Linked DNA regions of Arabidopsis thaliana. The protein of the gene in region 1 interacts with the protein of each later gene in a pairwise test. Each region holds a gene or a part of one and is shown on either strand. Other genes may lie near its edges.

What was found.
Region 2: the proteins of FT1 (region 1) and CSLC04 come close enough for resonance energy transfer, tested with the Arabidopsis thaliana proteins (one study listed by BioGRID).
Region 3: the proteins of FT1 (region 1) and AT4G21060 come close enough for resonance energy transfer, tested with the Arabidopsis thaliana proteins (one study listed by BioGRID).

Annotation. Positions count from the first base shown.
Region 1 is NC_003071.7:964,805-973,957, forward strand, and holds FT1 (fucosyltransferase 1), read right to left. Parts: upstream 7,613-9,153; 5' UTR 7,550-7,612; coding exon 7,273-7,549; intron 6,997-7,272; coding exon 5,597-6,996; 3' UTR 5,441-5,596; downstream 1-5,440. Other genes in the region: AT2G03200 (Eukaryotic aspartyl protease family protein), read right to left, coding at 1,702-3,087; FUT2 (fucosyltransferase 2), read right to left, coding at 3,531-4,963, 5,028-5,316; AT2G03230 (GCK domain-containing protein), read left to right, coding at 8,113-8,571; AT2G03240 (EXS (ERD1/XPR1/SYG1) family protein), read right to left, coding at 8,889-8,988, 9,099-9,153. UniProt on the Arabidopsis thaliana protein: Involved in cell wall biosynthesis. Is both necessary and sufficient for the addition of the terminal fucosyl residue on xyloglucan side chains, but is not involved in the fucosylation of other cell wall components.
Region 2 is NC_003074.8:10,501,599-10,512,483, reverse strand, and holds CSLC04 (Cellulose-synthase-like C4), read right to left. Parts: upstream 6,774-10,885; 5' UTR 6,375-6,773; coding exon 5,739-6,374; intron 5,599-5,738; coding exon 5,290-5,598; intron 4,572-5,289; coding exon 4,167-4,571; intron 4,089-4,166; coding exon 3,417-4,088; 3' UTR 3,219-3,416; downstream 1-3,218. Other genes in the region: AT3G28190 (uncharacterized protein), read right to left, coding at 43-74, 186-249. UniProt on the Arabidopsis thaliana protein: Beta-1,4-glucan synthase rather involved in the synthesis of the xyloglucan backbone than cellulose. Seems to work simultaneously with xyloglucan 6-xylosyltransferase.
Region 3 is NC_003075.7:11,239,039-11,250,300, reverse strand, and holds AT4G21060 (Galactosyltransferase family protein), read right to left. Parts: upstream 9,572-11,262; coding exon 9,395-9,571; intron 8,776-9,394; exon of another isoform or gene 8,536-8,775; coding exon 8,457-8,535; exon of another isoform or gene 8,299-8,456; coding exon of another isoform or gene 8,214-8,298; coding exon 7,398-8,213; intron 7,238-7,397; coding exon 6,996-7,237; intron 6,855-6,995; coding exon 6,564-6,854; intron 6,400-6,563; coding exon 6,271-6,399; intron 6,130-6,270; coding exon 5,956-6,129; intron 5,861-5,955; coding exon 5,753-5,860; intron 5,651-5,752; coding exon 5,441-5,650; downstream 1-5,440. Other genes in the region: BRCA1 (breast cancer susceptibility1), read right to left, coding at 1-259, 360-470, 774-1,234, 1,529-1,636, 1,729-1,799, 1,891-1,944, 2,072-2,127; AT4G21065 (Tetratricopeptide repeat (TPR)-like superfamily protein), read right to left, coding at 2,538-4,325; DOF4.4 (Dof-type zinc finger domain-containing protein), read right to left, coding at 11,228-11,262. UniProt on the Arabidopsis thaliana protein: Possesses hydroxyproline O-galactosyltransferase activity. Transfers galactose from UDP-galactose to hydroxyproline residues in the arabinogalactan proteins (AGPs). Is specific for AGPs containing non-contiguous peptidyl hydroxyproline residues.

The DNA.
Region 1 (9,153 bases):
ATTCGTTTCTTTGAATTCATGGTTTGTGGTTTCCTTTTGTATTTCATCATGTTATAATGTTTAACAATATTTACTTATATATGCCAATGTTAATTAATTCTTTCCAACCAAAAAGCCTCTGGCGATTCTGAATTCTTTCGCCAGCGGAACAGTATAAAATATAGCGTACATCGCCACCGTTTGATGAAGACTTGGGCACTGGAAATTTATCAAAATACATGTGCCCTAGGGCTTCTCTCTGTTAAAAAATTAAACATTTACGATTTCTTTTAGCCACGTAGTGAAAATTCATAATGAAATGATAATTCAATGCATACCTACACATATCGCATATGTATTATTTTACATTAAATGTAATAAATTAAATCATTTCATATTTTCTAAATAATGTAATGGTATTTTTCTATCATAGAAAGTTATTTGTGAAAAGTATGAAAGCATTTAATTACATTTAATGTAAATTAATACATATGGGATTTGCACCCAAAATTAAAATAAAATAAAATAATAATAATCCATATGGGATATGTGGCTATGTATGCATGCATTGAACTATAATTTTCATTATCTACATTTATAAATTAGTTTTAAGAGAGGCTTCACAATGGGTCGATTTAGCAAGAATATATAAATTATTACGGGCCCTTTAAAGCCCATAATATACTAAACATCCCGTGAGTGTCAATTGTCAAAGGCTAAAAGCTAATTCAAGCAATCACATTTTAGTCTAATCCTTTTCATGTTCCGAGATATCGACCAAAGAACATTCGACACCAAATCCACATATGCTCTAAAGTTCTATATGAGAGAGAAATATACAATCGTAGAAGGAACAGATCTAAAATACTATCTAAAATACAATATATCTTTTTTCCTTCTAAAAACATATGTTAAAATTTAGTGAATCAGTATAAGATAATAAGATACATCAATATATTTCATGGTTTTCAAACAATTTGATTTAAGAAAGAAAAAAATAGGTGAGATGGTTAGGGCTTAATTATGTTTGTTAGGCGACGTGTTTATAATTCCAAATTGATAAAAATTGCATGACGCATGCATTTCATCTCTTTCTCTCTCGAGTTGCTTGGAAGTTGAGCCAACCCCTTTACTTTGCTTCCAAGTTTAATAATTTTAATAATAATTAGTGTTCATTATTGTCAATAATTCTAATATTGAATCATCATATCAATGTCTATATCAAAGTTGTTCATGGTGGAACAAGACCTTCCAAAACAAATTACCACTCTTGTTACGTAAATATTAATATATATATATTAATTAGAAGATTCTCCAATCTATGGTTAACAATTTATATAGATTTTAATAATCAAAAATAGACTACTTTTTGTTACAAAATGTTACCTTATTTAGAAGTTTTTCCAGCTTTAACTCACACATGATGCGGCAAAAAAATCCAAGCACATGATAATTATCTTTGTGGTTTCACGGGCACATGGAAACATATACAATTACTTAATTTTTAGTCTAGTTAGGTTCATCAATATGCAAATTAAAATGATTTTTTTTCCTTTTTGTGGCAAAGAGACTTCTGTTTTTTCATACCAGCAAAACAGTAAACCAATATTTTCTATGTAGTCGGATATATAATTTACTCGGATAAAACTATTGAAGCACTTGACATTGTCACAAAGTATAAATTTCATTTATAATAAAAGAAAAAAAAAACAAATTAAAAATCTACAATTTTCCACATTCAGTGGGAACAAACGACACCGTTTCTTTCTCAAGATCATGAAGTACATTAAAATTCTGCTGTTGAACATTTCCGAAAATAGACATCCCATTAGAACTTCCCATGGCCAAACACAAAACGCCGGTGCTTGAATCCGCCACCATGTAGTTCTCTCCGGGAAGCTCCAAATCAGCACCTTTAAAATGAAAAATCATCTTAGGAACAGCAATATTCTTGGCAGCATCAGGTAACTTGAAGCACAAGTCAAGTCCCGTGGATCCAGAGTCATCTACTGGTAAACTCATCCGAGAAGTAAACTCCTCTTTCAACACTTTAAACGCGGTCTCCTCGAGATACGTGATGGTCGTGCCTGAGTCTATGATCATACCTCCGGTTCCATCTTCGGCTAGTTCAAAAGTAGACTTTTCAACAGAAAGGCGTTTTGCTCCAACGGTGATGCCTTGTAACTCAAGGTAATAGAACGAAGGCTGATCTGGATTTCGTAGCAAAGACATCGTTTTGGTGACTTCACCATCTAAACTTGCACCTGTTTTGTTGACGATACCCGAGGCTAAAGATCCAATAAACAACGAGCTAGATGCTTCACTATCCTCAATCGAGGTCAAGCAATAAGAAAACTTAGTCTCTTTGAGCTGAGAAATAAGCGAGAGCGGTCCGCGACCAAGACCTACAAGACCTGACCCTTGAGAGAACCCGTCGCCTTCGTTCTCAACCCCACACCCAAACCCGATACCAGAAATCGAGTTCTCGTCCTCGAAAGTGAACGTTTCCGTGGCCAAGAGCCCTCTTGTAGATGAGTAATCTCCATAAGTATACAAATACTCACAAGCATCTTTATCTTCGTTACAGTTTGATCGAGGCAATGCGTTACAAAGACCAGAAGAGCATCCTACTTTCGAGTAAGAGGAAGATTTCTCCGGGTCAAAAATCGGAGTTGGTTGATCAAAACATTCAGTGCAAGGCTTGCATTGAGTCCAAATAAGGTCACTTCCGGTATCAACAATAGCAGAGTATTTAACCGCCGGGTTTCCAATAGACAACTCCATAAGAAACTCACCGCTTCCTCCATGAGTAGGTGCTTTAATGTTATTAGTATCATCAGGCTTAGAGGCTACAGCTAAAACAGCTACAGCTCCTAATCTGTTTAATCTATGGAATCCACGGTTAATCCCTCTCTGAATCTTTTGGATCTTGGTGAGGTTTTTACCGGAATCCACATGTCGAAGACTCAATCGAAAACCGGATCTCGGAAGGTTTTTCGGAAGAGTACGGTCGATTAATGATCTTCTTGACGATGAAACCGAGATTAAACATGAAAAAAGAATAAGAAAGAAAGGAAATAATAAAGAAGAAGAAGAAGAAGAAGCCATGGTTTGTGTGTGTGTGAGTGGATAGATGAGAGATTAAGGGAGTGTAGATTAGTGTTTATAAAGAGTTTTTAGGACACAAAAAGAAAAGAGTTACAGAACAAAGTTAGGCGTGTAAGAAGATAGACATTGATGTAACTTCCCTACTTAAAATGAGGAGACACTGTTTAAGAGATTCACTCAAACAAGCAAAGCCCTATTCTTCCGTTGTTAGTTGAGAAAACTTTTGAGTTTCTCTTTTTCTCACTTACTGTTGGGAAAACAAAAACACAAGAAAATTATTATATGGGCCTAATAGTGATTAAGCGCACTAAAACAGAGCCTATTACAGGGTTAAGTAAAAGAAGTCATTAGTGAAAGACAATAATGGAAATGGCTTGGTTCTTCTATCTTTTAATATCAACTGAAACATTCAGAAAAAAAGGAAACATTACAATGTTGATTATCTAAAAGTTGTCAACAAGCTTAAGTCCCCAGCTAATATCTTCACAATGTCTAACATGCGGGACAACATTACCAGTGTCAGTTCCTTTCTTTGCTTTGCAATCATAGTAAGGAGGAGCATGGAAACAAGGATCTGGTGACATAGCTCTACCGCAAGGTGGATTTGGGTTGGTTTGATTCTCTTGTTTATACAGAATCCAAGCTCTTAATCCTCCAAGTCCTTGAGCTACATAACCAAATGTAGACCAAGCACTAATAACCAACTTATCCGTTAAGCTGAGTAAGTACATCTCTGCCCAAGCTTTCCTGTTATGCATTAGCTTCTCTGTTTGTTGATGTCCTTCATGACTTGGCTGATGTATTCCAATCACATCTCTTGTTACAGTTGGATTTTCCCAATACATTGTTTTCAAGATCTCAAAGTATCCTGTTGTTAAAGAGGTGACCAAGACAGATTTGAGTTTCAACTCTTCTTCTGATGGCTGCTTGTATTGTTCTTCACCTTTGCTTAGTCTCGGTAACAGATTCTCGTTTTGAACACACGAAATGATTTGCTTTGTGACTCGAGGAGATACGCCGGATTTCTCATCAAAGACTCTTATTTGAAGACCAATCCTTTCATCAGCTTTGGCTAAGTAAGCTTGATAGTATCTTGTGATTAGTCCCCAGACTTGATTTGAAGGATGGAAAAGGTAACGACCTAAATGGTGAAAAACCGTTCCTTTCTCGGGAAACATCATACCGAGCTCTTCTTCGAAAGAAGAAATCAAGAAAAGAGACGGTGCAAAGAAGTTGTTTGTCCTCATGATCAACCAAGGAACATTCTTTAAGAGATTTTGATCTTCTTCACAGAAGAACATTTTGTCGTGCTCATTGTAGTCATGAGCTAGATGAAGATAGAGATGAGACAGAGACGAAACAGAGGATTCATTAATCAGTTTCCTCTTCAGCATATCTCCATGGCAGTGAGCTGAGTTTTGACCAAAGCCACTGAACTGACTAGCTAAGGTGAAATCTTTCGGTAGTAACCAAGTGGTATCGAGGAACGGTTCGCAGAATAAATCCGCGAACTGTTCCCCTCCTTCAACAAGCAAGACTCTATCTGTCAACATTGCATACAGAAACACAGAAGCAATACTGATAATCCTGTTTCCTAATCCGCTAAACGACATCCAAACAACATACTTGCATCCTTGTGATTCCATCTCACCTGTTTGTTTCTGTTTAAGCAATCTTTCTGCATTGGTATACTGTCTTGTTCCCGGTCCACATCTTTTATGAAGCTCTTCGTAAGCTCTAAGCTTCGAAAGTAGATGCAACGAAGGTTTATACGGTGAAGCTTTACGGTAGAGGTAAGATTGGTATCTACTCAAGCAAGACTCTTTCTTGAAACCAGATACAAGTAGCCCTCCAAGCAGAGACATATCTACAGAATCTGATGAAACATTCAAAGAAAAATTTAGAAACATTTCAAAACAAAAAGAAGAAAGTAAGTTTACCTTTTTGTTCTTGATCTCTCTGCACTAGTGATGAATCATCTGATGAGGATGTCACATTTGGTTCCATTGTTATGAATCTAGATGCTTGTACAAAGCCATTTCCTTGATCATATCCAAACATGGCTACGATTACTAGCGAGACAGGGACTAAAACCATGAACAAAGCTAAGATCTCTGTGATTCTCATTGCTCCTAAGAATCTGCAACTCTTTTCTTGGACTCCTGATTGATCTTCCGGTTGTTGATCAATGGCTCTGGAAAGAGATAATCTTCTTCTGGAGGGATACATTATTCAGAAACCCTAAGATCTAAACAAAAATGGAAAAAGAAATCAAATCTGATCTCTCCCTTTTACTTTCCTCATTTGTTACATAGGAAGAGTAAGAGAATAAGCAAAAGATCATCAAAAAAAAACTGAGACTTTGGTAATAAAAACTCAACCTTTATGCTCTTGTTTTATCTATTTTAAGAGAAAATGTCAAAAGCACAAAAATTGACTTTATTAAAGCTAATTTAAGAAGTTACATGATACATCAAATAATCAAAAACAGAGTAAGGCACACAAAAAATCATACTAGCTTAAGTCCCCAGCTGATATCCTCACAATGTCTCACATGAGGAACTAGTGTTCCCGTGTCAATACCCGTTTTCGCTTTACAATCATAGAATGGAGGCGAGTGGAAACAAGGCTCCATCGACATAGCCCGACCACACGAAGGATCGGGAGTTGTACGGTTTTCGGGTCTATAGAGTATCCAAGGCTTTAAACCTCCAAGACCTTGAGCTACATATCCAAATGTAGACCAAGCACTTGTCACAAGATTATCTGTCAAACTCAAAAGATACATTTCCGCAAGAGCTTTGCCATTATGCATCTTTTTTTCGGTCTGCTGATAACCTTCTTGGCTCGGCTGATGAACACCGATGATTTCTCCAGTTGATGTCGGATATTCCCAATACATACTCTTTAAGTTCTCCGCGTAACCCGCGTTCAAAGATGTGACAAGCACGGCTTTGTGTTTGGGGGTATTAACATGGCGAGATCTCTCCACTAGTGTGTCTACTTCAGGTAGAAGTTTCTCTTTTTGAGTACAAGATGAAATCTGATCCATCACATGCTGAAATGGACCCGGGTCTTCATCGAAAACTCTTACTTGAATCCCAATCTTCTCATCCGCATGCGATAAGTAAGCTTCGTAGTATCTAGTGACTAAGCCCCATACTTGGTTAGTTGGGTGAAAAAGATACCTACCTAAGTGATGAAAGACAGTCGCTTTCTGTGGGAATAGCTTGTTTAGTTCATCATCGAAACCCGGTATTAACCACAGAGATGGAACAAAGTAATTGTCTGTTTTAACAATCAACCAAGGGACTTTCCCGATGAATGTTTGGTCTCCTTCACAGAAGAACATCTTATCATGATCTCCATAATCATGAACAAGATGAAGATAAAGATGAGACAAAGTTCCCTCAGTATCAATCACCTGATTCTTCACCATATATCCATAACAACGAGATGATTCTTGATTTAATCCATCAAACTGATCAGTCATAGGGAAATCTAAAGGTAGCAACCACGACATACCGAGAAACGGCTCGCAAAAGAGATCATCCATGTCTTTCCCTCGGTCAACAAGCAAGACTCTATCCGTTAAAAGCGCGTAAAGAAAAACCGAGGCTAGAGAAAGTATCCTGTTCCCTAAGCCGCTAAAAGAAATCCACACAACATATTTGCATTCACCATCACCATCAATATGTTCTTGATCAAGTTGTTTTAGAGCTTTCTTGTAAGATTCAGTACCCGGACCACATCGCTTGTGAAGCTTTTCGTAGTTTCTAAGCTTAGAGATGAGATAAGAAGATGGCTTGTAAGGTGAAGGTTTACGGTAATGAACTGATTGGTACCTACTAAGGCAAGAATCTTCATCAAAACCAGAAGCAAGTAGCCCTCCGAGAAGCTTATCAGAATCTACAAAACAAAACAGAATCAGAACAAAATCTAAAAAACTCGGAAAAAACGAATGTAACAGTCTAAGCTGAGACCAAAACAAAAGAGCACTTTTTCACCAAAACAACATCAAACCAAAAATAGTAGTCTTGTGACTGACAAAGACTCAATTTTTATGAGTATAGATCTCAAATTGAAATCGACCAAGAGCTATGGACATACAGAGGCAAATGCGTAGTGTAAAGAACGAGATCTAAAGTAATAAAGCTCAAAACTTTGACTTGGAAGAACACATACTGATGTTAGTAACATTTGGGAAAACTCCGGCGTCGAGAACTCTAGCTTCGGCGAAACCCATAATCCGATTTGAATCAGATGGGTGTTGGTGAAAGATCATTGAGAATGCTACTAGTACAGAGAAGACTATCAAGCAAGTAGTGAAGGTTCTCGTGAGCTTCATCGTACCGGAGCTGAGATACTTCATTTGAAGTAGTTCGGAGAAATTAACGGACTTTGAACCGCCGGTAGTGGTTCTGATCGGAGACGATCTTCTCCTGTACGAATTCTGATCCATTGATTGCTCTTGAGGGAGACTCTAAAGTCACTCACCGACTTCATAACTTTATTTCAGAACATGTCTCCACGACATGGTTTAATTGTAATAAAATTATATTTCAATTGAATATCTTCACTTCTACATTATTACTTTTTACACCATAAACTTTGTAATGTTATATTTTGACCCCTATTGTAACAAGTGAATATTAGAAAAAGTAAACCATGTTAAAATTTAATTACTTCTAATTAGGACTGTCAAATTTTTACTACAGTAATCTTTAAAAAATTACAAATGTCAAAATTTTATAAAATAATGTATATAATTTTAAGTAATAAGATAATTAAAGAGAAAATATCTTAAAATACCATTTTTAAAATTAAAAAAATCTTAAAATACCATAAAAGAAAAATTGTTCTCCAAGAATACCACCACTTGTTCTCCAAGAATAGGTTTTAACGAAACTATTTCCTAAAACTTAAAAGCCGACATAACTAAAGGGTTTAAGAGGAGGGGTTTTAAGCTTCCCACTTGTGTTCTTGACTCTCAAACCTAACTTCGTCTTTTAAAATCAAACAACCATGTCTTCTATGAATGCGAATGCTGAGAATTCTGAGAGCAAACCAAAAAGCGGTAACGACCCTTTGGATCATGAAGGAGGAGATTCATCTGCTGCTTCGGAAGATCCGAACAAATCCAAAACAGTAAGTTCTGATGATGATTTGAGTGAGACTAACAAGGAGAAAGAGGAAGAAGATTGTGAAGAGTGTTGGCTTAGTCGGTATTTGAAAAAAGGTGATTGCAAAGATGCATTCATAGAAGTTGATCATTGTAGGGAAGTGAAAGATGACGGCACGAACTGTCGAGATGCTAGATTGAAGCTGATTACATGTATGTATACTAACGTCGATTACTACGGACCGTTTCTAGCAATGCAGAAAGAGATGCGGACTCAGTCGTTAAAGGAGTTGGAACAAGGGGAGGAGGCAGCCGCTGCGGCGAAGAAGAAGGAAGAAGAAGAAGAAACCAAGGGAAAGTGAGCGATTATTAGAATTTATTTGGTTAAGTTATTCTGATACTTTGAATGTTTCTGATTATTACTTTTGTTATTGTGGGAGAATTTGGTTTTTAAGTCATTGCTTTGTTGATGCCCATGAATTTCATGTTTCTCTCAATGAAACAAATTTTAAGTGCAAATCAGTGACCCTAATTACTATGGCTAATCTAGCGAATATCCGTTATCCTGAGTGAAACATCTCCTTGATCTCAATGAACCAGCTTTAGTCTAGTCCATCTTCCTCCTACTCGTTGTGGATGAATCAGTCTTTACAGAATCTAAGACTAGAAACCGAGAAAACTAGTTGCCTTTATCGTCATCCTCGTCGTAGTTAAACGGTAATGGAACCGTCTTAAATGCTCGATACTTCCCAACATTGTTCAAATGCTCATTCTCTAACCTGTTTTTTTGCATAAACAAATCCCCAAGAAAGTTATATCATATGTTGTGTGACAGTAAATAGCGCTAATACATGGTGAAGAAAAGTTGCAGTAACTTATGTTTTCTCACCTGAAGAAATTCCATATCCCACGGCGGATAATCTCTAGACTGGCAACAACAGCAA
Region 2 (10,885 bases), on another chromosome or scaffold:
AAGCTAAAGAGCATTATTGGGATTTGAGATCAATGTGTTTACCTTATTATCTGAGTTAGAGAATAAAGCAGCATCTGAAAGAACGACAATAACACACTGATCAGGCTTAATTTCCAAAAGACTAAAACAGTACAAATACAATCATAAACTATTCAATGACCCGGAGATCCTTTATAGCGACTTACAAGTGTAGAATCCAAGACCAAATATGAATACTGATGTTTTCCCCATATAGCTCCAGATTCCCATAATATTCTTGATGAACTGACCTAGAATCAAAATCGAACAGAAAGCATCGGACAGAGATAATAACAAAACAAAGAGAGAAACGGTGTTGACTCTAGACAGAAAACTGAGCATACCTAGAAATGCTGTACAAGATTGACGATTTGTCTTCGGTTAGAATTGTAAGAACACAAGCAATGTTTATAATCTTGTTCCTCTTGGCCAAACGGCTGAATATATACACAGATACGATAGTAGGGGTTTTTGCTTCCAGAGCAAGTAAAAAATAAAGACAACAAAGGGAAAATTTCCAAAAAAAAAAATCTTTCTAATCATCTAATGAATAGACTAAATTCCCAAATTTGTAAGAAATTGTCAAAAAAATAAAGAATCACTTTAACTTGCCCTTGTTAAAAACAGATGTTAAAAGTTAAAGCAAACAAAACAATATGTAATTCAATAGTCTAAAAACCCTAGATTTCTCTAAATTTCTTATTTCTCTTAACTAGATATTAACCCGCGGTATACCGCGGGCCTATATTTTCATTAAAAAAAAAATAATTGAATATTTTTTAGGATGATTTTTAATAAATTTATGCTATTGTTTGATTGAAATGTATAATTCACCGCGAGACAAAATTTTATAACTCAAATTTTAAAGTTTTAAGTTGTATTTGTTTATTTTGTTAAATGTTTAATATTGTATAATTGTATTTTGATTGTTGTTTCTTGGATTTCACACTTAGTACACCATCCCATATTAATATCGAATCAAACCCGTCAATTCTAGGATTTCACCCGTGGTAGTATTTAATTGTATAATAATAACTTGATTGTCATTCTAGGATTTCACTCCTAGTTCTATCGCAAAGTATAATCAATCCAAACCATTCAATTCTAAAATTTCACCCGTAGTACACCATCCCATATTAATATCGAATCAAGCCCGTCAATTCTAGGATTTCACCCGTGGTAGTATTTAATTGTATAATTATATTTTAATTGTCATTCTAGGATTTCACTCCTAATTCTATCGCAAATTATTATCAACATAAACCAGTCAATTCTAAAATATCACCCGTAGTACACCATCCCATATTAATATCGATTCAAACCCGTCAATTCTAGGATTTCACCCGTGGTAGTACTGCGAGAGAAATCTTATAAAAGAATCGAAATGTGATTTTAAAAAATTAAAGTTTTAAGTTTTTTTTTAATATTGTTAATTTTGTTTAGTGTTTAAGATTATATAATTATATTATGATTGTTAATTATAGGTTTTTTCCGTAGCATACCATCCCATGTTATAATCCACTCAAACTCGTCACACCATATAACCCCGTCCCGTGAAATTAAACACAAATTTGTCATTTTATTATAAATTTCAAATATTTATAAAATTAGAAACTTCAAAAAAGATTAATATTGACCCAAACTTCATCATTGAATTTTGAGTGTTATATCTAAGATTTCTCTTGCAGTATATCGTCCCATATTAATATCTTTTATATTGTTTAAATTTCTTGTAAAACTTAATTTTTAATTTTTTGAAACTTTTTAAAGTTTCAATTCTTTAAAATAAATAACCCTAGTAAACAAACCATTTTAATTTTGGACACCTCATAAATCAAGTTTCATGCTCATTCGTAATCGAAATCATTTTGGTCCTTTTTATAGTATGGCTCTGAACCATTGTCCAATTTTTTTAAGCGATGTGGGACATTGTACAATCTTAATTATTATCCACCCAAACCCATCCTACCATACAACCCAGTCCCGTGAAATTAAACAATTTTGTCATTTTCTTATTAATTTCAATATTATAAAATTTGAAACTTACAAAAAATACAATATCGACCTTGATTATATTTAAGTTTTTTCCTGTAATATATCGTCTCGTATTAATATATTATATATATATTTATCATGTTTAAATTTTTTGTAAAATTCAATTTATAATTTTTAAAACTTTATAAGTTTTAAAATTATAAATATTTAAAGCATTTTTTAAAGATAGACTTTATAAAAAGTTTTTAAAATTATAATATTTAACTTTTGATAAAGTTATAATATTTATAATTTCTTGAAACATTTTAAAGTTTCAAATCTTTAAAATAAAAAACCCGAGTAAATCGGATAACTATTTTAATTTTGGACGCCTGATAAATCAAGTTTCCTGCTCATTCGTAATCAGAATCATTTTGGTCCTTTTATAATATGGGTCTGAACCATTGTACAATTTTTCTAAGCGATGTGGGACATTGTACACATATTATTTCTTCATAGGTTGAATAATATATGTCCGTTTTAAAAATTTGAATTACATCATATGCAGAAAAAAATATAATATTTTATTAACTATATATATTTTATATAAATTCAAAATAAATAAAGTATAAGATCAAATAAAAGTGAAAGAAGAATTATATATTTATGTTTAAATTAGGTAGAAATATTTTAGGAAAATAGTTAAAGTAAATAACAAATATGGTTAGTTTAGAGATATTGTTTATATTAAATTTGGTAATTAAATCATTAATTTTTGTTTTTAATTATTAGTTTTTAGGTAACTTTTCCAAAAATTAATGTTATCCAAGATCAGAACAGAATTAAACATGTTATCCAAGATCCGAACAGAGTTAAACCGGGTTATACCCACCCATTTGAATTAATTGTTGAATTATGGCTCAAATCTTCAACATTATCTTCAAAAACGTCTACAAAAATGTATATATAGATAACTAATCTGATCTCTATCTACACTTCTTTTGAGTATTTTTCCGAGACAAATTAAACTATGACTAGACAAATTATCATTTGTAATCTTTCCACTAATGAGAATAGTTTGTAGTTCCATTCATTCTGTCCACAAATGCTATGGTAATCAAATCAAAGTTGAGAAGACAAAAATATTTTCTATTAGAGGTAATGTGATTGAGTAATTGTGATTGAAATACTGTTGAATATTTATCCAAACAAAACATCTAAGAGCTATGATTTTTTAAAGTTAAGCCAAAATCATATAACAAATTCGTTTCAATTCATTTATCTGAAACTGGACATTATAAGTTCTTGAAAATTATGTATAAAACCCACATATAAAAAGGGAAAAGAATTTAAAAAACAAACAAAAAAATAGTGAATATAAACGGTATTTTTTTCCTTGTTCTCTGTCTTGGTTTTGTGTGTGTCTAGCTGATCTGTTCTCCGATCAAATCCAACCCTACAACCAAGAAAGACAGTCCCTGAAACAACAAAAAGTAGAAGTGAAGACCGTGCGCCGATAGAAAGCTCCTTGCAGCTGCGGTTAGCAGCAAGAACGCAAGCCCGAGCTCTTTCTTGAACACCATGTTCGTCTTCTTCTTGTTCTTCGGCCTCATTAGCCCTCCAAGGCTCTTCTTCACGGTTTCTTGCCCTACAAGATTTGTCTCTTGCTCCTTAAGTTTGCTCAGAAGCTCCAAACCTGACTCCGAGTTTCTCCTATGCAACTTCTCTTCCTTTTCAGCAAACGCTAGCAAATCGGACTCCGATGATCTCCCGGTTTTCTTCGTCACAACCCACTCGTAAGCCGATCCAAACTGAAACAGCCCGGAGATCATGGCGTTGAACTTGGTTATTGACATTGTGTTTTCGAAAAGAAGGTAAGGGACTAAGAAAGGGAAAGATTTAGGTGACGGGAGAATGTTGAGAAGCGAAATGAAGATAGGAACATAGCAGATGATCCACAACGGAAGCTCGGCTTCGGGTATGAACATTGTCAATGGAAGTATAATGCAAAAGAGTGTGAATGAGTAAAATGGTAGAATAAGCTTCCTTAGAAGAAAGAAAAGGAAGATCAAATTCGCCTTCTTCCAAACCGATATCTACAAACACAAAAACAAACAATGAGTATATGTAATGATGTTTAACTACTATCACTAGTTGTAGAAATAAACTTTTACCTTTGATTTGATAATTGAAGGAAGGCATAACCGGAACAGCTGCATAGGACCGGAATGCCAACGATGTTGTTGCTTCTTGTAAGCTTCATAAGACTCTGGCAACTCGCAAGTGACTTCAACATCATTAAGGTAAATAAACTTCCAGCCGTTGAGATGCGCTCTAACCGCGATATCCATATCTTCCACGGTGGTTCTCTCGAGCCATCCGCCGGATTCTTCCAATGCCTTGATCCTCCATACTCCAGCGGTTCCATTGAATCCGAAGAAATTGAGAAACACACCGTTCACTTGTTGTTCTACTTCGAAGTGGAAACATAAGTTTATGTTTTGTAGCCTCGTGAGGAGATTCTCATCTTTGTTCACAAATGACCACCTTGCTTGGACCAACCCTAGCTCTGGATTACCCTGTGCAAACAAACAACACAACACTCGTAAGAATCTTGATATTCAAAAATGTTTGCATAAATGTAAACTTCCACATGAATATACTTTTACATTTTAACAAAATCTATTGACTAGTCTACTTAAAAATTCCGGTCTCAGTCATCTTGAGTTCGACTCCAACAACCCACATGAAAAATAAGATATGCTCTTTAGGTGGGGTACATAAAAATAAAATAATAGAATTTCGATTTTTCACAAAACAATAACTTATAAAACAATTATTATTATAATATGTAAATGTAAAAACAAAGGAATAATTGAAACCCGGAATCAAACAGAATCAAGATTAGCTTCAACTAGATTGAATTTGAAGACTTGTCATGTTAGAAAAATCAACCAAAGAAGTCATGAGTTTTGTAATTTCATATTTGTCGGTTACTTCGATTTCATACATAACAAATTACCAAATTGGATTTTCCTAACATAAAACCAAAAATACAAAAAACAATATAAAAATTTGTCGGTTACTTAGAACATGATCCACCGAAAAATAGATAAAACCAGCAAAGACAACTGTCGGTGATGAGTATAATCAAAAAAATATTTTCTATCAAAAAAGTGTAAAAAAGAAACAAATCTTTTTCCAGTGAATTTCTCTAAAACATTCATCGTAAATTACGAAACGTCAAGAAAGAAGTTTCCTTTTATAAGTTTGGGAATAAAGAGATTGTGTTCTTACCTTGAAATGAGGAACAGTCTTCTTGAGGAAATCAGGATTTGGTGTGAAATCTGCGTCGAAGATAGTCACAAACTCGTAATCTTTAACGTAATCACAAGTCATGGCTGATTTCAAATTGCCAGCTTTGTAACCAGTTCTGATCAACCTATGCCTGTAAATTATGTTTACGCCTTTTTCGGCCCAAACCGATACTTCTTCTTTGATCAAAAGCTGTAAATTTGGATCGTCTGAATCATCTAATACTTGAATTAAGATCCTATCTTTTGGCCAATCAAGTTGTGAAGCTGCTCCTATTGATTGTTCATACACCTAGAAGAAAACAAAACATAACAATTATACTATGTAAGAGAAAACAGAACATAAAACAGAATAAAAACAGAGTAAAAACAGAGCAACACAGAGTAAAACCAAAGTGAAAACAGAGTAAAAACAGAGTGTTTATAGTTTACCTCTCGTTCGTTGCACATTGGGATCTGAATAAGGACCATTGGGAAACTGGAGGGGTCTTCTAAATCGATAGATTCTTCGGTGAGCTTAGGTTCGATCTTTTTAAATTTGATCCAAAAGCAACCGAGACAGAGGACTAACCGATCAAGAGACTGAATCAAAAAGAGTACAGTGCAGAATCTGGAGAGACTGATGACAAGAGGAGCGATGTAATCGGATCGAAACGAGAGCCAAGCCATGTACGACCATTCGACAAGCCCGTAAACCTCCCAAGACGGTCGGTTAATGAGATCAAGATTCCATTTCTTGAAATGTGCAACGATTTCTATGGACAAGGCAATAATGGAGATGACAAGACAAGCTTTGATGAATCTGTACATTTGTTTTCCTCTGCTTTTAGGATCTTCTTCTTCGTTAATGTTCTTCGCGGAGAACGCGATTCGCTTTTTAACCGAAGAGACTAGCCACGAGAGACACGAGATGAGTCTATGAGCTTTGAGAAGAAGGAACCATGAGAATTGTTTTGGACTGATGGATTTACGTTTGTCGGGGAATGAGGATGGATCTGAGCCGTTGATCTCTAGTAAAGAGAAGTTGTCTGGCTTCTCCATTGTCACTGCTACTGAATTTGGAGCCATGAATGATAAAGAAACAGAGAAGGGTGAGAAGAATAAAGAAAAGGTATTTGTGTATTTTGGTACTATGAAATGTTTGTCATTATAAAGAAGTGTAGAAGAATCGTCACTGTTTCATTAAATTTTCCATAAAAACAGGATCGTTTGTTTATGTTACACAGACAAAACAGTGTTCTGATTAGATCAGAATGTGAGATACTTTGGGTTCAGCTGTGTAACTGAAACTTGTGATTGAGAGAGAGAAAGAAAGAGAGACGAGGATCATGTGCTGAAGTGAACCAACTAAGTAAATAAAGAGGAGAGGAGAAGAAGAAGAAGAAGAAGAGAGTTCTCCTTTCTTTGAATTTTCCTCTTTTGTTTTTGTAAAGGAAGATTTTATTTAATTATTTTCTTTGTTTGAAAAGTCCAATTTTTATTAGTGGGATCTATTTCCAGCGTGCATAACTAAAGAACAAATTATATTTATTTATGACAAAAAAAGAAAATTTGATTTCTTACTATATGATCAATTTACTATTTTATTTTAGATTCTATAACAAATGATTCAAATGATAACTAATTTGTAAATCCCGTGAATTTTATTTTAATATTTTTTTATCAATCAATCTTTATTTAGAGTTCAGAATCCCGTGAAAATTATTAAAGTAAACATACTCGGAAGTTATGGTTACGTGTTTTTTTTATTAATTTTCAGAAATTACTAATTTATGTAGTTAATTTAGAGGCATTTTTTTTGATATATTGTATAGACAATAAAAGTTTATCAAGTACTAATCTAGTATTTAAAGAAGGCTAATGAAGAAGGCTAACGCATATAATCAAAGATTAGTTGGGTTTTCTTTCATATCATTTTTTTATATTAGTTAACGTGAAAATTTTAATTTGATGTTAAATACATTTTATCTTATATGTTAGTAGTTTGGAATCATTTTTTTTTGCCAGTCTTCTAAGTAAATTAAAAAATAGTAACCGATTTTTTTGACCAAAATCAATCCTAATGGTTTTAGCCTTTTAGGTGGAACGATTTGGTTTAAAGTTACTTTGTTAAGCAAATCCGCGTCTAGTGATTTGATTAAGTAGGAGAGAGACTGCTGTTTATATTATTTTGGGGAAATTTACATCTTTATAATTATACCCATAAAATGAAAATACTTTACTTAAAAAAAGCTATTGGCTTATGGATCTTACGCGATATGTCCAGTCATAAAACTGCGTTTATACATGCATGTGTGTGTATTAAAGAAAAACAAAATGAATGAGAAGAAAAACACAAAGAAAAAAAAGAGATGATTCCAAGAAAAGGCCAAAAATCAATTTGTATGATTGGTAAGGAATTTGGAGGATGACAACTTGGTCCAGCGATGACCAGATTAAACTTATAAAAATGTAATTAGATCAACTTTACTAAATTATAATATTACTTTAACTCAAAGTAATGGACTATGTTGTCGCTTCACTGTCTTCCAACTTTTTTTATTTGATCTTGTTGATTCAAAGTGTTAAATGAATTATCCAGTTACTGTAACCCTTTGATTTGGATAATTTTTCATTTCCAAGATAAATTTTCACTTATTCACAAACATTTAGCTTGTGATTTATCATCGATGATCAACGGAGTACAAGAGATAATAGAGCATGTTAGAAGTCCCACCTCAACTCTATGGCAGATTAGACAAATGTCATGGGTTTATTGTTAATTTTAAAAAAATTCTTAATGATAAAAGGTTTAATATTATTTTACTAAAAGATTTTAGATTTTTGTTGATTTTGCTAGAAGCTCAACGATATACTGCATGTTATTGTTAGATGGGTTCGATTATGTCATGCTTGTGTCACAAGACGTTGCAAAGTAAATCAAATCAAATCTATTTCACTTATATATATAATCAAAAATATGGATCTCATTTTCACAATTATCATATTTTTTTATAGACATACTGATATATATATTGGTTCTCTCTGGTCAAAAAGTTTGTTGGATGCAGGATTAAATTAGAACAGTATTTTTGAAAAGAAATTACAACAGTAATATATTTGATAGATATCGACAGTGTAACAACATGTAAAATGTGAGTAAACTATAATCACGATATATGTTTTATGTTTTAACTATTAACCCAAAACTATATGAATACAAGCTGTGTAGTAAAATTCCATAACAAAAAGATTTAATATTTTCAAGTCTAAGAAAAAGACAATAACCGTAACCGGCGGTGAGAGAAGAAAATCACATGGGAAGTTTCTATTTTACGAACATAAAATATTATTATATTAAAATATATATTCTATAATATCTTATATCACAACATTATTATTATCCTTTTTATTTTTGACGGCAGCTATTAATTAATCTGAAATAGATGGTGGATAAATGTTGAATAACCCATTAGACTTAAGAAGAGAATATATATGATGATTATTACACTGTACAAGACAGCTATACAAGTTATCAGGCCCTAGTGTTTTACCACTTTGTTTTTTTATTAAGTTGATTTTGGTCGCTTATGACATACTTATGATGCTTTTGTGATTAGGTGTTATATTTTGACCAGTTTTTATTAGCGGTTGATCTAAAACGTGTTTGAGCTGGTAAACTGTAAATGTAATAGTTCATCAATCTGATTTTGAATATCTAAAACATATTTTCTCTTGCACCATAATTATAACATTACAAACAAGACTAGGAGTTACAGATTTATAGCATTACTAAAGCTACTTATTCATATCTGTTTTTATCAAACAAATTTTATGAATAATCTCTCCTTTTTTTTGTTGATGATTTTGAGTTTTCTTGCTGATGGGGATTCCTCCCACTAAGCATTTATTAGGTTTTAATTTCTTAATTGCGTGACCTACAAACAAATTTTCGAATTGTATTTGTGTTATGTTATAGAATTAGTTACGAGAACCATATGTATAATTTATATATATGTCATTAATAGAGGCACATGCTCTTTCATCAGCACAGTCACACTGAAGTAAGGTCTACCACATGAGACGGCCAAGTTTGTATCTTTTTGTTCTCAATCATATTTTCAAATATATATATATATATATATATATATATCACTTATTAATTAATGAATATATTTTTCAATAATTCAATAAACAATATAGTGAATCTTCTAAGATTTTTCAGATGCAATCGGTGAGGTTTTGTATTTAACTCATTAAATTATTATTCTTCATCGTAAAAACAATTTTGTTTATGCTTGATTGGTCAATATCATCAATGAGACAATATTTTAACTGCTTAGAAGTCAAATGATAGTCTTTTTATCTATTTTTATTCATACACAAGGTACACACACACATATGGAAAGTCTTGAACATCTCTATGAACCCCTATGGAATGGCTAGATCTTGTTTTTCGAATGACTTGTATATAGTTTCCATTACATTTTAAAAATCTTCAAAAACTTCTTAATGTTAGAAGTTTTCCCAAAAAGTAGTGGGATCCGAAACAAGTGACTTAGAGCCAGTATGTCCCTTTTAGTCTTAATTGGGACTTGGATAATAAATCATGAATACCATGCCAGATAAATATGTGAGCTAGGTAGTAAAATGTAGACAATTCAGAAAAACATTCAAATCACTTTTTGATCAACGTTAAAATAGTCTCTTATGGATATTGAAATCTTTTTTTATTGTATTTATTTGTCATGATTCTAAAAGTAGAAAATAAAAACCGGCAAAACAGAAATAACTAGTAATTTTGGAGCTAAAAGGAACATATGGGTCATTCAGAATTCATGTAGCTGTATGCGAGTGTGTCCTAGCAACCAAGCAAATGCAATTTTTAGGAGATATTGAAGAGATAAACCAAAGTGAACATGGGACATGTCTTCAACTCTTAAGCCAATGTTTTTAATTTTTATGAATTTTATTTGGCATTGACACATGTGAGATTGTACTATACACATGTGGTATGGCCTCTCTGGCCATGATTGTATAATAATAATGTGTACATACATTAAAAAAATTGATTTCACATCATCTAGTTGATTGAGTTTTGATTCTGATAATTGGGCCTATAGATTTCATAATAAAATCTCCAGGGTTCTCATAATCGAGCAACTATATCATTATAATTGGATCTGCATTTATGGTTAGATTTGCAATTTAATCATCATACTTAATCAATGATATATATATTTGATTGAGTAAATTTCATGTTAGATCAAAGATGGTTTAGTATTAACGGTCATCTAGTGTCAAATAAAATATAAAACTTTTGTTAAACTTTGGTCAAACTGAATTCTTAAAAACCGTAGATGATAGTTGGTAAAAGATTACAAGAAGGGTTTCTCATCAACGTAATGTCCAAGTAAATAGAAGCCTAATGCTCTTGTGGATCCGGTAGACCATGTTGATTGACATTCAACATTAGCTTGTATTACTTGTTTTTTAATCTTTTTTCTTGGCAAGTTTACATTTATCTGGTTAAGCTTTTTTGTAAAACCTAAACTTCATTCATATGATATTCACATTCCTATCAAAAACAAATTCCAAGG
Region 3 (11,262 bases), on another chromosome or scaffold:
TAGCTCTTTTAGCTTTCACATTTTCATCAGTATTCACATCATTCCTGATAATTGTGCCAGAAGTCCCACGACTATCTTGTTGCTCACTAATGGTTGCTGCTGCAGATGATTCCATGTTGTCCTCTTGTGAAACCCCAATGCTTCGTCTAGCAACTGTATTTCTTGCACTTCCTGCTTTGCGGTTTTTACATTTGGATGATGCAACTTTAACTTTAGGTAGCTTCTTTTGAGTAAGATCAATCTCATCTCTACCTAGGACCTGCAAATCGATGAAATTTGAGTTCATTTCAACACACTTGATGACACTATCATAGAAAACAAAAAGACCTTGCTGTACCAGAGTGAAGAACAGCCTTTACCTTGGCCTTCACAGGACTAGGTAGAATCTCCGGAGAACAAGGCCTCTGAGTCCATTCAAACATTTCGCTATCAAACATGTCACCTGGATTGGGCTTTTGTTGCTCGTCTTCCTGAAACATTCATCGGAAAAAAAGTAAGATCAAAGGATCCGACACTTTTTTAGGATATTGGATAGAATGAGGGAATTCCATGTAACTGAGTATGACTTTTATGAGTAATAAATGTGTCAAAGACCTTTTAACTCGCAGTATTCAATCTAAATCAAAGATAACCTCCACCGCATAACTAACATTTATCAAACACATTTCTATCATAAACTAGTGTAGAATGTATCAATACTACAGAACAATATAATGCAATATGAATCCTGAAAGATAGCACTAAAAAGGCTATTGAGGTTTTTGAGTATGGACCTTCGATGGGCTCTCATGATCTGAGTCCATCAAATCGCTGAAAGAGGGAACATTAACTGGTGTAGTCCCTAAAAGTTGATCACTTTCTGTACGCTGACTTGAGTTCTCCCCATCATCTTCATCTCTCAACCAAAAGAAGGGTGAAAGATTTCCTTCTTTATTCAGAGATGGATGCTCATCCAAACGAATCACAGTGTTTTCAGTGTAGTCCTTGGGTTTTTCAGCTGTTTCAACAGACTCAGTAGGTTTAGTTAAACTTTCAGCAGACAGATTCTGGAGCAGCTGCACCCTCTTCTTGGTTTGGGATGAAGGTTTCATAACAATAGGCCCAGGTGCATCTACATCTATTTCCTTGGTTTTCCCATACTCGTTCCTCTTGGATGCTCGGCCCTTCCTAGATCCCTGACGATTCTTATCACTTGCCTTTTCAACGGAAGCATCTCTTACTTGCTTTTCTTTATCTGTAGACGCATATCACAGAACACAAGTTAGAAAGAAATACATATCTCTTCATTCAGGTAAAATCCGAGCATTCTCTTCATTCATGTGGGAACTTAATCGGCATTTTTAGGGTTTTCTTACTACAAAATTCCACTTTTTAGACCATTCAATTGAATTCAGAGACAGTTCAATTTCAAGTGAAATGATTAAAATCCAGTTACTACGCTTAAAATGAACTTGCAACGAGTCTATCACTGCCTTTGTTTCGTTCAAGCCAACCAAAATGTTAAAGCATTGGTCCTAATTTTAAGTACCTGATGGTGACGGATTATTCTGGCTAACGAATAATTTAATCCCAGAAGCATCTTCCATGTTCTTGTAAATGCTCACCAAGCTATCCATATGTGGAGCACCTCGAATCTCTAACATATTAACATAATCATCAAACTGCAAACTTAGGTTTAACAACAGATAAAGCTGAACTCTGAGATCAATAAAGAGCAAGAGAAAGTACCTCTACGATGGTAAGGGATTTTACAAACAGGACAAGTAGCATCCATTTTCATAGATTTCACTATACACGCACTGAAATCAAGAGAAGACCATGTGTTCATTACTTTTAAAGATTGATGAAATGAGAATACGAAGAAAGAACAAACTAAGGAAAGGTACTTACTTGCAAAATACATGGTTACACGAAAGTGAAACTGCAGAATTATATAGACTCAAGCTGCCAATAACAAAAAAAAACAAATTAAAATTGTTACCAAGGCAGTTAAACGAGATTCATTAGTCAGACAATACGAAATCAGGGTTTATGCTCGTCACAAAATTGAGCAAAGAGAGACGCGATTTACCAAATAGGGCACTTGAGTTCTCTTCCCATCCTCTCCAGGTGACTAGTGTCCGCCATTTTCGATCTTCACTCAGAGAAAACGAAACGAATCAATCTGATGAATCAGGAACAAAGCGACTCTTTGGGTATATAGATAGATAGATGACGAAGCGTGTCCTTCAAAGAGGCTTCCCTTGAAAGCTTTACAGACTAAATAAAAAGCGCCAAATTTTCATCTACTTCAAAATATTTCCAATCCCGCCATGAAAACACGCGGTATAATCTCATTTCACTCAATTTTCGTTTTGCCCCTATAAGTTTTTTAGTTGCAAGATTTGAACCCATTACTTTTATCTATGCAAAATTTACCCACATATATACTTTAAAATTTTACAAATTTCCCCTAGAAGACTTTAATTAACGAAGATTGTCCGTAGAATTTGAACGATCTGCGATGAAACAATAATTTTATTTTCTGCATTACCAGACTACCAGTAATCTTGGCAAGAACAAGAACCATTTTTAAAATGGTGAAACCTGCTACGATCTCTGACTACAATCTCTCGGTTATAAACCTTTGACACAAGTTTGATTGCTAAGTGACAATCTGCACATACTCTAAGATTCTTCACGACTGTAATCGGTGATCTTTCTGGTGTACTAATTAACATAAATGCAATAGCAATCTTCTCACTGTGATAAACCACAGCATTCTCCTTCTCTTCCTCTTCAACATCTACATAGACATTAGAAATTTGTGGAACGTAACCTTCTGATCTCAATCTACCAGTCATTTCTTTCAGCTTAGCGTAAATAGCATCGCTTTGTGGGTGAGACTTATCACCCATAAGAAACTCATGAACTCTGTTTCCTACTTCTACTAAGCTGTGACCGGGGACTTTTTTCACACCGTCTCTTAACATTTGTTTCCGTATCTTTTGCACATCGGACCAACGCTGCTCGGATGCGTACATATTCGACAAGAGAACATAATCGCCGCTGTGGTTTGGTTCTAGTTGTAAGATCTGGATTCTAGCAAACTCTGCTAAATCTGAATCACCATGAACAGTACAAGCTCCTAACAATGTTCTCCAGATTACAACATTAGGCTGCATCGGCATACTCTTGATGTATTCATATGCTTTCTTCACTTGTCCAGCTCTAGCTAACAAATCGACCATACAACCAAAATGCTCGATCCTAGGTTCAATCTTATACTCCTCTCTCATTCTCCTGAAATACTCAAAACCTTCCTTCACCATCCCGCAATGGCTACAAGCGTATAATATCCCAACAAACGTGATCTCACATGGTAACAATCCCTCCGTTGATTCCATATACTTGAAAAGCTCAATGGCTTCTTTCCCAAAACCATTAACAGCTAAACCGACTATCAACGAAGTCCACGAGACACTGTTCTTGTCCACCATTTCATCGAAAAGTGTTTTGGCTTCTTCCACTCTTCCACATCTCGCATACAAGTCCAAGAGCACATTGCTGGAATGCAAGTTTCGTGTCAAACCTACTTTGATCATATAGACATGAACTCTCTTACCCAATGTCAAAGCACCAATCTTTGCACAAGCAGACAACAAGCTAACAATTGTGAACCCATCAGGCTTGATACCCTTGGAATTCATCTCAGTATAAAGCGCTAAAGCTTCTTCTGGTTTACCGTTTTCCGCAAACCCATTAATCACAGAGTTCCAAGCCACTAAATCTTTCTCAGGCATTTTATCAAACACCTTGTACGCACTAGCTACATCTCCACAATTTGCGTATAAATGAAGCAGAGAGTTCTGAACATAGATCAACGAACCAAAGCCACTTCTTATAACAACCGAATGAATCGTCTCTCCTAATCTAACATCCGCCATTGTCGTCACAGCCTTAATAAGAAACGGATAAGTATGAGTATCTGGCTCGACCAAACCAGAGACTCTCATCTCACGGTATAGAGAAAAAGCAGAGATGGAATTACCAATCTCGGCGTAGCCTCTGATCAATGTGTTCCAAATAAAGACATTGATGGGTTTCTCAATCTTGGAGAAGACTTTGTGAGCGTAAGACATGGGAGGTGGAGAAGGAAGAGAAACAAGGTAGAAGATGAGGTGTTTCCCAAGCTCGGCGTCTGAGATTGAGACTCCATGGCGGATTGAAAAAGCGTGGATTTGTCTGAGTTTCGTTATCGATGAAACGCCGTAGGTTTGCAAGAGGTTTATGCATTTCTCGACCATGGGAAGTAGCAGAACAGAGGTTTCTGAGAATGGAGACATTTTGCTCTGTTCTTGTGGGCATTGTCGTCAATTGCATTAGAATCGAGGCAATTCCATTATCATATACTATTAAAATTTAAAAGACTTCAAGTGATGGAAACTTCTCAGAACCCTAAAAATCTTCACTTTCTCAAAATAACTTCAGACAGCCGCCGCCATTCTCTGTCCGGAGAAAGATGGTTCGTTTCAGGTTAAGCTCTGATGATTCTCTATCAATCTATAATGCTTCTTCAAAGACATAAAAAGTGAAACTTTATCACTGTGTAGTTCATCTGGATATCTTAACCGTGCAAGTTTCTCTATGCCTCTCTTTTTCTCTTCTTGATTGATTCACGCACCGTGTATCAGAACTTCACAGCCGTAAGGTTTTGGCGTGCGGATTAAACATGGTGCTAAACAAAATTCTAAAGGCACATTTGGCTGTATCCATCTGATCATGAAAAGATTAAATTGGTAGTCTTTGCGCCACAGTTTTTTTGTTGTAATCAATCCGTCTTTCGAGTTTTCTTCATTACAGTTGCTTCTGCTATTGACCTGCACACTCTTAAGATTGATGTTTAGATGTTCTGTTTATACAATCAGGATTCTGATCAATTCATCTGTATACTAACCAAACTTGTTGTCTCTATGGGTATGTCACATCTACCGGATGAGGATTATGGCAAACACTGAAGAAAACAACTCAGTGACATCTACCTGGATCTTGTGGATGCCCTCTTCCATTTCCCCATCTTGCAAAAGCTGGAAATCTTTCAGTGAAGCGCAAGAAATGCAGATGATTAAGGAAATGCGACTTGATGAAAGCCAAAATCTTGATAACATGACTCAAGAACTTAAAGACCAGCAGAGTAGTATAAATGTATAATACAGTGACCTTGGCTTCTCTTTCTTGGTAGCCCCATAGTGTTATGGCAAAGACGTTTTGAAAGAATTTGTTTAGATATCAGTGTAAATCTCTTTCTTAGACAAAATCCTAATCAATGTACAATAAGAGATTGTTATCTTGAATGTGTAAATGTAAGCAACTAGCACCAAAGAGGAAAAATTACAAAATGGGTTAAGGTGGTGCCAAATCTGTAATCCTGTAATATCTTCCGGCTAGTGCTATGTTTTGGTCATCTGAAATTGCAACATTGTGGTCGACCTTTCAACAAATTATCCCACAGGCACATCATTTGACTCGGAGATTGATAATGTGCAGTGTAATAGTTCAGTGTGCATCCGTATTGGCAAAATTTCCAGCTGTGTGAGTATTCGACAGGCTGCATAGAGGCGTTGAATTGCTCCACCCACAATCCCATGCTCACATCTTCCATCTTGAATAGCTGTGACAACAAAGTCGAAATAGTTTGAAAATGTTAGGAGACTCTTATGTTCATGACAGTAAAAGATGGAGATGAACGTAAGACGATGATAAAGGGTCAGACCCTAAGCTTATGTCTTGAATTCTGAGAAACAATATATTTAGCAATGTTGCTTGAGATTATGTATCCGGGTCCATTGGCATAAGGAGGATACACAGCTTCTGGCCACTCCTGTTACAGTATAAGAGAAAATTTAGTATCTGAGGCTGCTTCTGATTTCTGAATCATACAGACTATATGCAGGTAAAGAACAGAAGCCATTGTACCTCCCATGTAACTGTCCACTTGCCAGTTCTAAGAGGACGATGTCTAAGATTTAGATTCCCCATATAAAGTGATTTTTCTGGAGAGACTCCATCGATTTGTTTCAAAATTGATTCCACTCTGATGAAGGTATCATCGTCACACTTCATTATATATGGCGCTGTCACATTCTGGACCTGAATGGAAGATATTCAGACTCTCATAATTAGATTTGTGTAAAGTAACTACAATGAGGGAAACTGTTCATTTACTGATCCTTATCAGAGATTGTTCAAAGACTTAAACAGATATGGAGTCATGAGAGAAATGATCAATACCCCAAATTCACAAATGGCAATTGTCTTAAGGACCACTAGCTCATATCGATCCATAAAGGGCAGAATCACAATATCTCCAAAATATTCAGCCTCCTTCTTTAGCATTGCATTAACTTCCTTTCTTGGATTCTACACAAAACAAATCAACAAAAACACATAAACTGCTCAGTATTCCAAAGCATAAGAACTTCAAATCAGCAAATCTCCATCTCAATGTTTCAATTAAATCGACCTGCAGTATTAAACTTCTTAAAGATCATGCTTTAAAATAAGGAAAGATTGTAAGAACTTACAAGTGCAACAAAGAATCGGGCTACTACATCTGAAGATTTAATAGAAGGATGTTGCATCCATGTCTTTCTCACTGCCATGCGCTCTGAAAAATGGTTAGTTGCAGAGAGAACACCCATGAAAAGGCGAAAAGGAGTGCCAGGTAATGGAGGAGCTTTCCATTCTGAAGAAAACTCTATAGCTTTCTGCGGTGAGAAACTCGGATGAGATGTTGAAAGAGAAGTAGCATGAATAGAATGAATATCAACATCTCCTGTAACTGCCAGCCCTGTGGCATCTTCTATGGTAAATCCCTGAGAGGCCAGACATCACAAAATATTTTACAAAGTTATCAGACATGGACGAGATGAATCCTCTTGGTTTGAACAAATGATACTATTGAGTGCTGAGACCAAAGCCATATACAAGTAGAATGCTCATCTGATATCACATACCGGTCGATAAGGGAATGAAGACACATGTCTTCCACCAACATTAATATGGAAACCATCAATTCCAGCTCGCAAAGTTAGGACAAAGACCTTGCCTTCCGCAAAAGGGAATGACCAAGTGACTTCTGGTTTTTGTTCACGTCCTATAAACCGTTTGAACCATGATGTTGTCTTTGATTCCTTTGAGTCCACCATGTCAATTATGTCATTCTGCGTCCACTTTTCACATCTTCGGAATCCGTCAACTGGAAAAGTACATTTACTTAGATGAAGAGAAAACAAAAAGAAACATAACTACACAGCAATAAAAAAGAAGCTAAGGTAATTCAAACTTAGACTTCTGAGCATGGACTTGCTACATTCCGGCAACTAACAACAGTTTATGATGGATGCTCAAAATCTTACCAAGCACGTCTGCGTCCTTCTTGGATGGAGTACCATCACATCTTTGAGCAACCCCCCACTGCATCCTATAACATGTATTGTGTTCAATGACTGGTCGGTGATTCCAATCACCTTTGATCCTAGGGTTCAAATGAAGAATCTTAGGGGGGTATTCACCGTCCCCTGTCTTCAGCCCTTGCAACTCAACCATAAATTGTGAAACCAAAACCATTCCATAGCTTCTTGTCAATCTCGAACGCTGAGGAACAGATTCTTTATGAGCATACTGTGGAGTTCCAAGAATTGTAATAGAAGATCCTGCAGCAAGACCACAGGGAAGCAACATGATCCTATTGGCTTTATTCAAGTCATCTCCATTCATTGAGATCTGAGAAGGACATGACTCCACCTTTCCTTCGAATATAGAAGCACTCTCGTTGATCTTATCAACCTCAAACTTATCAACATCTTCCCAAGCCTTGGATCCAAGTATCCAAGCCTCATCTGCCATTCTTTCAAAAGGTGACATATGAATAGTCCTATTCCTACGTCTCATGACCTCTCCTGATATTCGACCATACCGAAACAGAAGTGGCTGAATCTGTTTAGATCCATTAATCTTCTCTTCTGGTGACACCTTCTGAGTAGTAGAAGGCCCACTTTGATGATCTTCATCTTCTAGCTTCCTATTCAACATGTCATTACGTAACGATCCGCTTAAACTAACATCTAAACTAGTATCACTTAATGCCCCATCTAAACCAGTATCACCACTCAACATAGCAACCATCTCAATGAAATGTGGGAACTTAAAAGCTAAGAAAACCAAGTAAAACCCTGCTATAGCTAGTAAGAAATGTGACAACTTGAACCTCCTAGAACTATAAACTCCTCTAAAAGATTCGCTTTTTACTCTTTTCATTGTGAGGGTCAACTAAAAATTACTACCTTCCACAATCAAAATCACTCGACTTGTTGATTCACAAGACGAATTAGTGCCACAAAACTGCACCTGGAGTACCTAAAATGTAGCCAATTCATCGAACAACTTCATTGAAAGAAGTAAAGGAGATTTATAACCTGAGAATCCGGTAAAGAGAAGGATTCTAAACCCCACAATAGCAGCTAAATCTCGACACGATCTGAAGATCAATAGAGTCTACGAAATCCAATCAAAGCAACCCAAATGTCTCAATTTGACACGAGAATTTGAAAAAGACGAAATTTGTTTTAAAAATCTCGTCTTTTGGCGAAGAAGAAATAGATAAAGTCACTAACTCAAACAAAACAAAAAACCAATGAAGCAGAGCAAATCTCCACCTGATTTGAGCAGTTTTATCTCCTTGAATCTAGGGCTATTAGAGAAATAAAACAGAGGAGAAAAACCCACTCAGGAGATGAATTGAGAAATCGGAAGGAACCTTTTTTCATTTTTTAAATTTTAAAAACCACCAAATGGTCTCTCTATTCTTAACAATATTCACATGTGTATAAATTTAGTCAAAAGTCTCACTAAGAACAACGAATCAAGGGTTTTTAAAGTCGTTGATTTCTCTGTTATTTATCTCCAAAATTACATATTCTTATCTATAAAGATTTTGTTAAATGTTAGGAATGAATAATTAAATAAAAATAAAACTTTTAAACATACATATTTGTTTGTTATGAAAATGTGCAAAACATTCCATTTTTACTATTTCGAACTAAGTATCTTCAAAACTACACATCCTTATTAAAACGGGGTTTCGATCGAAAATTACAAACGATAACCAAAAGGTATAAGTGTATAACATGTATTATTAATCAGACCTTTTAAATAAAAATAAAAAGGTCTGAACTATATAATATAAACGGGTGCATACAAAAATATCGACCCGATCATTAAAAAATACAACATTAGTACGTAGATCTTAGTTTTCGAAGACAGAAAAAGAGCTTCGAAAATTCTTAGAGCTGCTAGATCCGGAAATAGAAACCGAAATAGACGAAGAGGAATAAGAAGAATTAGGTGAATAAACATGTTGATGAGATGTCTTCATCATCACCACCATCCCACCATTGAAAGAATCTTCTTTATTCTCTTCTTCTTTGATTGTGTCTAGCTTCTGCTTCGCTGCTCTATGCCTCCTCATAACCGTCACAAATTGAGGTGGAGCAACCTCTGATACAAACCTAGCTAGACGAGAAGTAGCCATTTGTTTTTATGGTCAGTCATTAACAAGAATAGTGTTTATAGAAATCAAAGAAATGATTTGAGAGGTATATGATGGTTTGATTTATGAAATGTTTGAGATACGAAACTCGTATATATATGTGGATGAGTTTGTTAATTACCCGCGACGTAGGGCATTTGTTTTTGACGTTTTGCACCGTCAATAGCTTTTGCTATTTAATGTATAGACACGTGTAGTGTAAGTCTTTATTTGTTTTGTCGCGATCAATTTATTTTGTCTCAAAAATTTAAAAGCATTACATAGAAATTACACCAAATTTACGATCGTAATCATTTTTATTGTTATTATTTCAGCTTATTCAATAGAAAAAAAAAACCCTTATAAGTGTATTTCATAACGATATAATTAAAAGTTAAAAATATTTTAAAACAGTATATAATGAAACGGAGGTAAACAAAAATTAGAAGGAAATGCAGTATGGTTAGTTAATTCACTCAAAAAATTCATGTAACCATATAGCTAATTCACTATATGGTGATAATGCATTTGCCAACTTTTGAAAACGATAGGGATAATGAAGTTAAGAAAGCTTATTATAAAAAGGAAAGAGTGAGCACGTTTCAAATTCCTTGTGGAAGACCTCATCTCTATCTCTGTCGGAATCGATGACTGACAAAATCTAGCTTTTTCCCTTGCATTAACCGGCGGTCTTATGATAATCCACGTCTATACTAACACAATCTGGACGTTTTGTCAATGTCCTTGTTATATCAGATTTTCTTTAATTTCATTAAGATTTTGTCTATGAAAGTGGCCGTTTTGGCTCTCGAAAATCTGAGAGAGCAAGTTGTAACTATTCATTTATGTTTTTATTAGGTCTTTAACCATATAGTCATAATTACCTATAAAATAAAATTATTTATTAAGAAACACATTTTTCAATAATTAATTAAAATTTTAAAATCTAGAAATTCATTAAAGACTATAAATGTTGTATTAATTAAAACATAGATTTCAACGAATTTCTAAGTATTAATTACATCATTGTTGATTCGTCATATATTTAATAAATAATCTCAATTTCTTTTGGTTCACATATCTACTTTATAGTTGGCTACTAACATTTTAGGATTTCTTTTGGAGAATTAATATTGATAATATTTAATTCTGAACATTTCACAATCGAGACTAAGGTTTAATCAATTAATTCTCACAACGGAAATCGAACTCGTGTTGAGATTGTTCGAGAAATATCTCTAGTTCTTATTGTATATATAAAAAGGAAAAAGGATCAAACAACTTTCTTTTTTTTTGGACAACCTTGTTTTCATTCGATTTAGAGAATTGAGTTCATACAAGCGAGGAGACCTCTTTTGCCAAGGCATCAGCCTAAAATTTTGCTTTCGCGAGATTAAAAAAAAAATTACAAGCATCAAAGAAATTGGGAATTAAACAACTTATGTCTGAATATTTTGGGACTTAAACAAAGATGCAAACTTTTATAACTAAAAAAAGACCCAACATAAACCATGCATAAACGAAACTAATAAAAAAAAAAGAAGTAGAAACGATGGACTGGAACATTAACTTCCGAATGTTAAGAAGACCTAAACAAACATGTTTCTCATATTGTTCTTCTGAGTGTCTCAAGATCCTATGCTTCCACTACTGCTGGCTTTATGATTCATGTTCATAGCGTGGTTGAAGCTTTG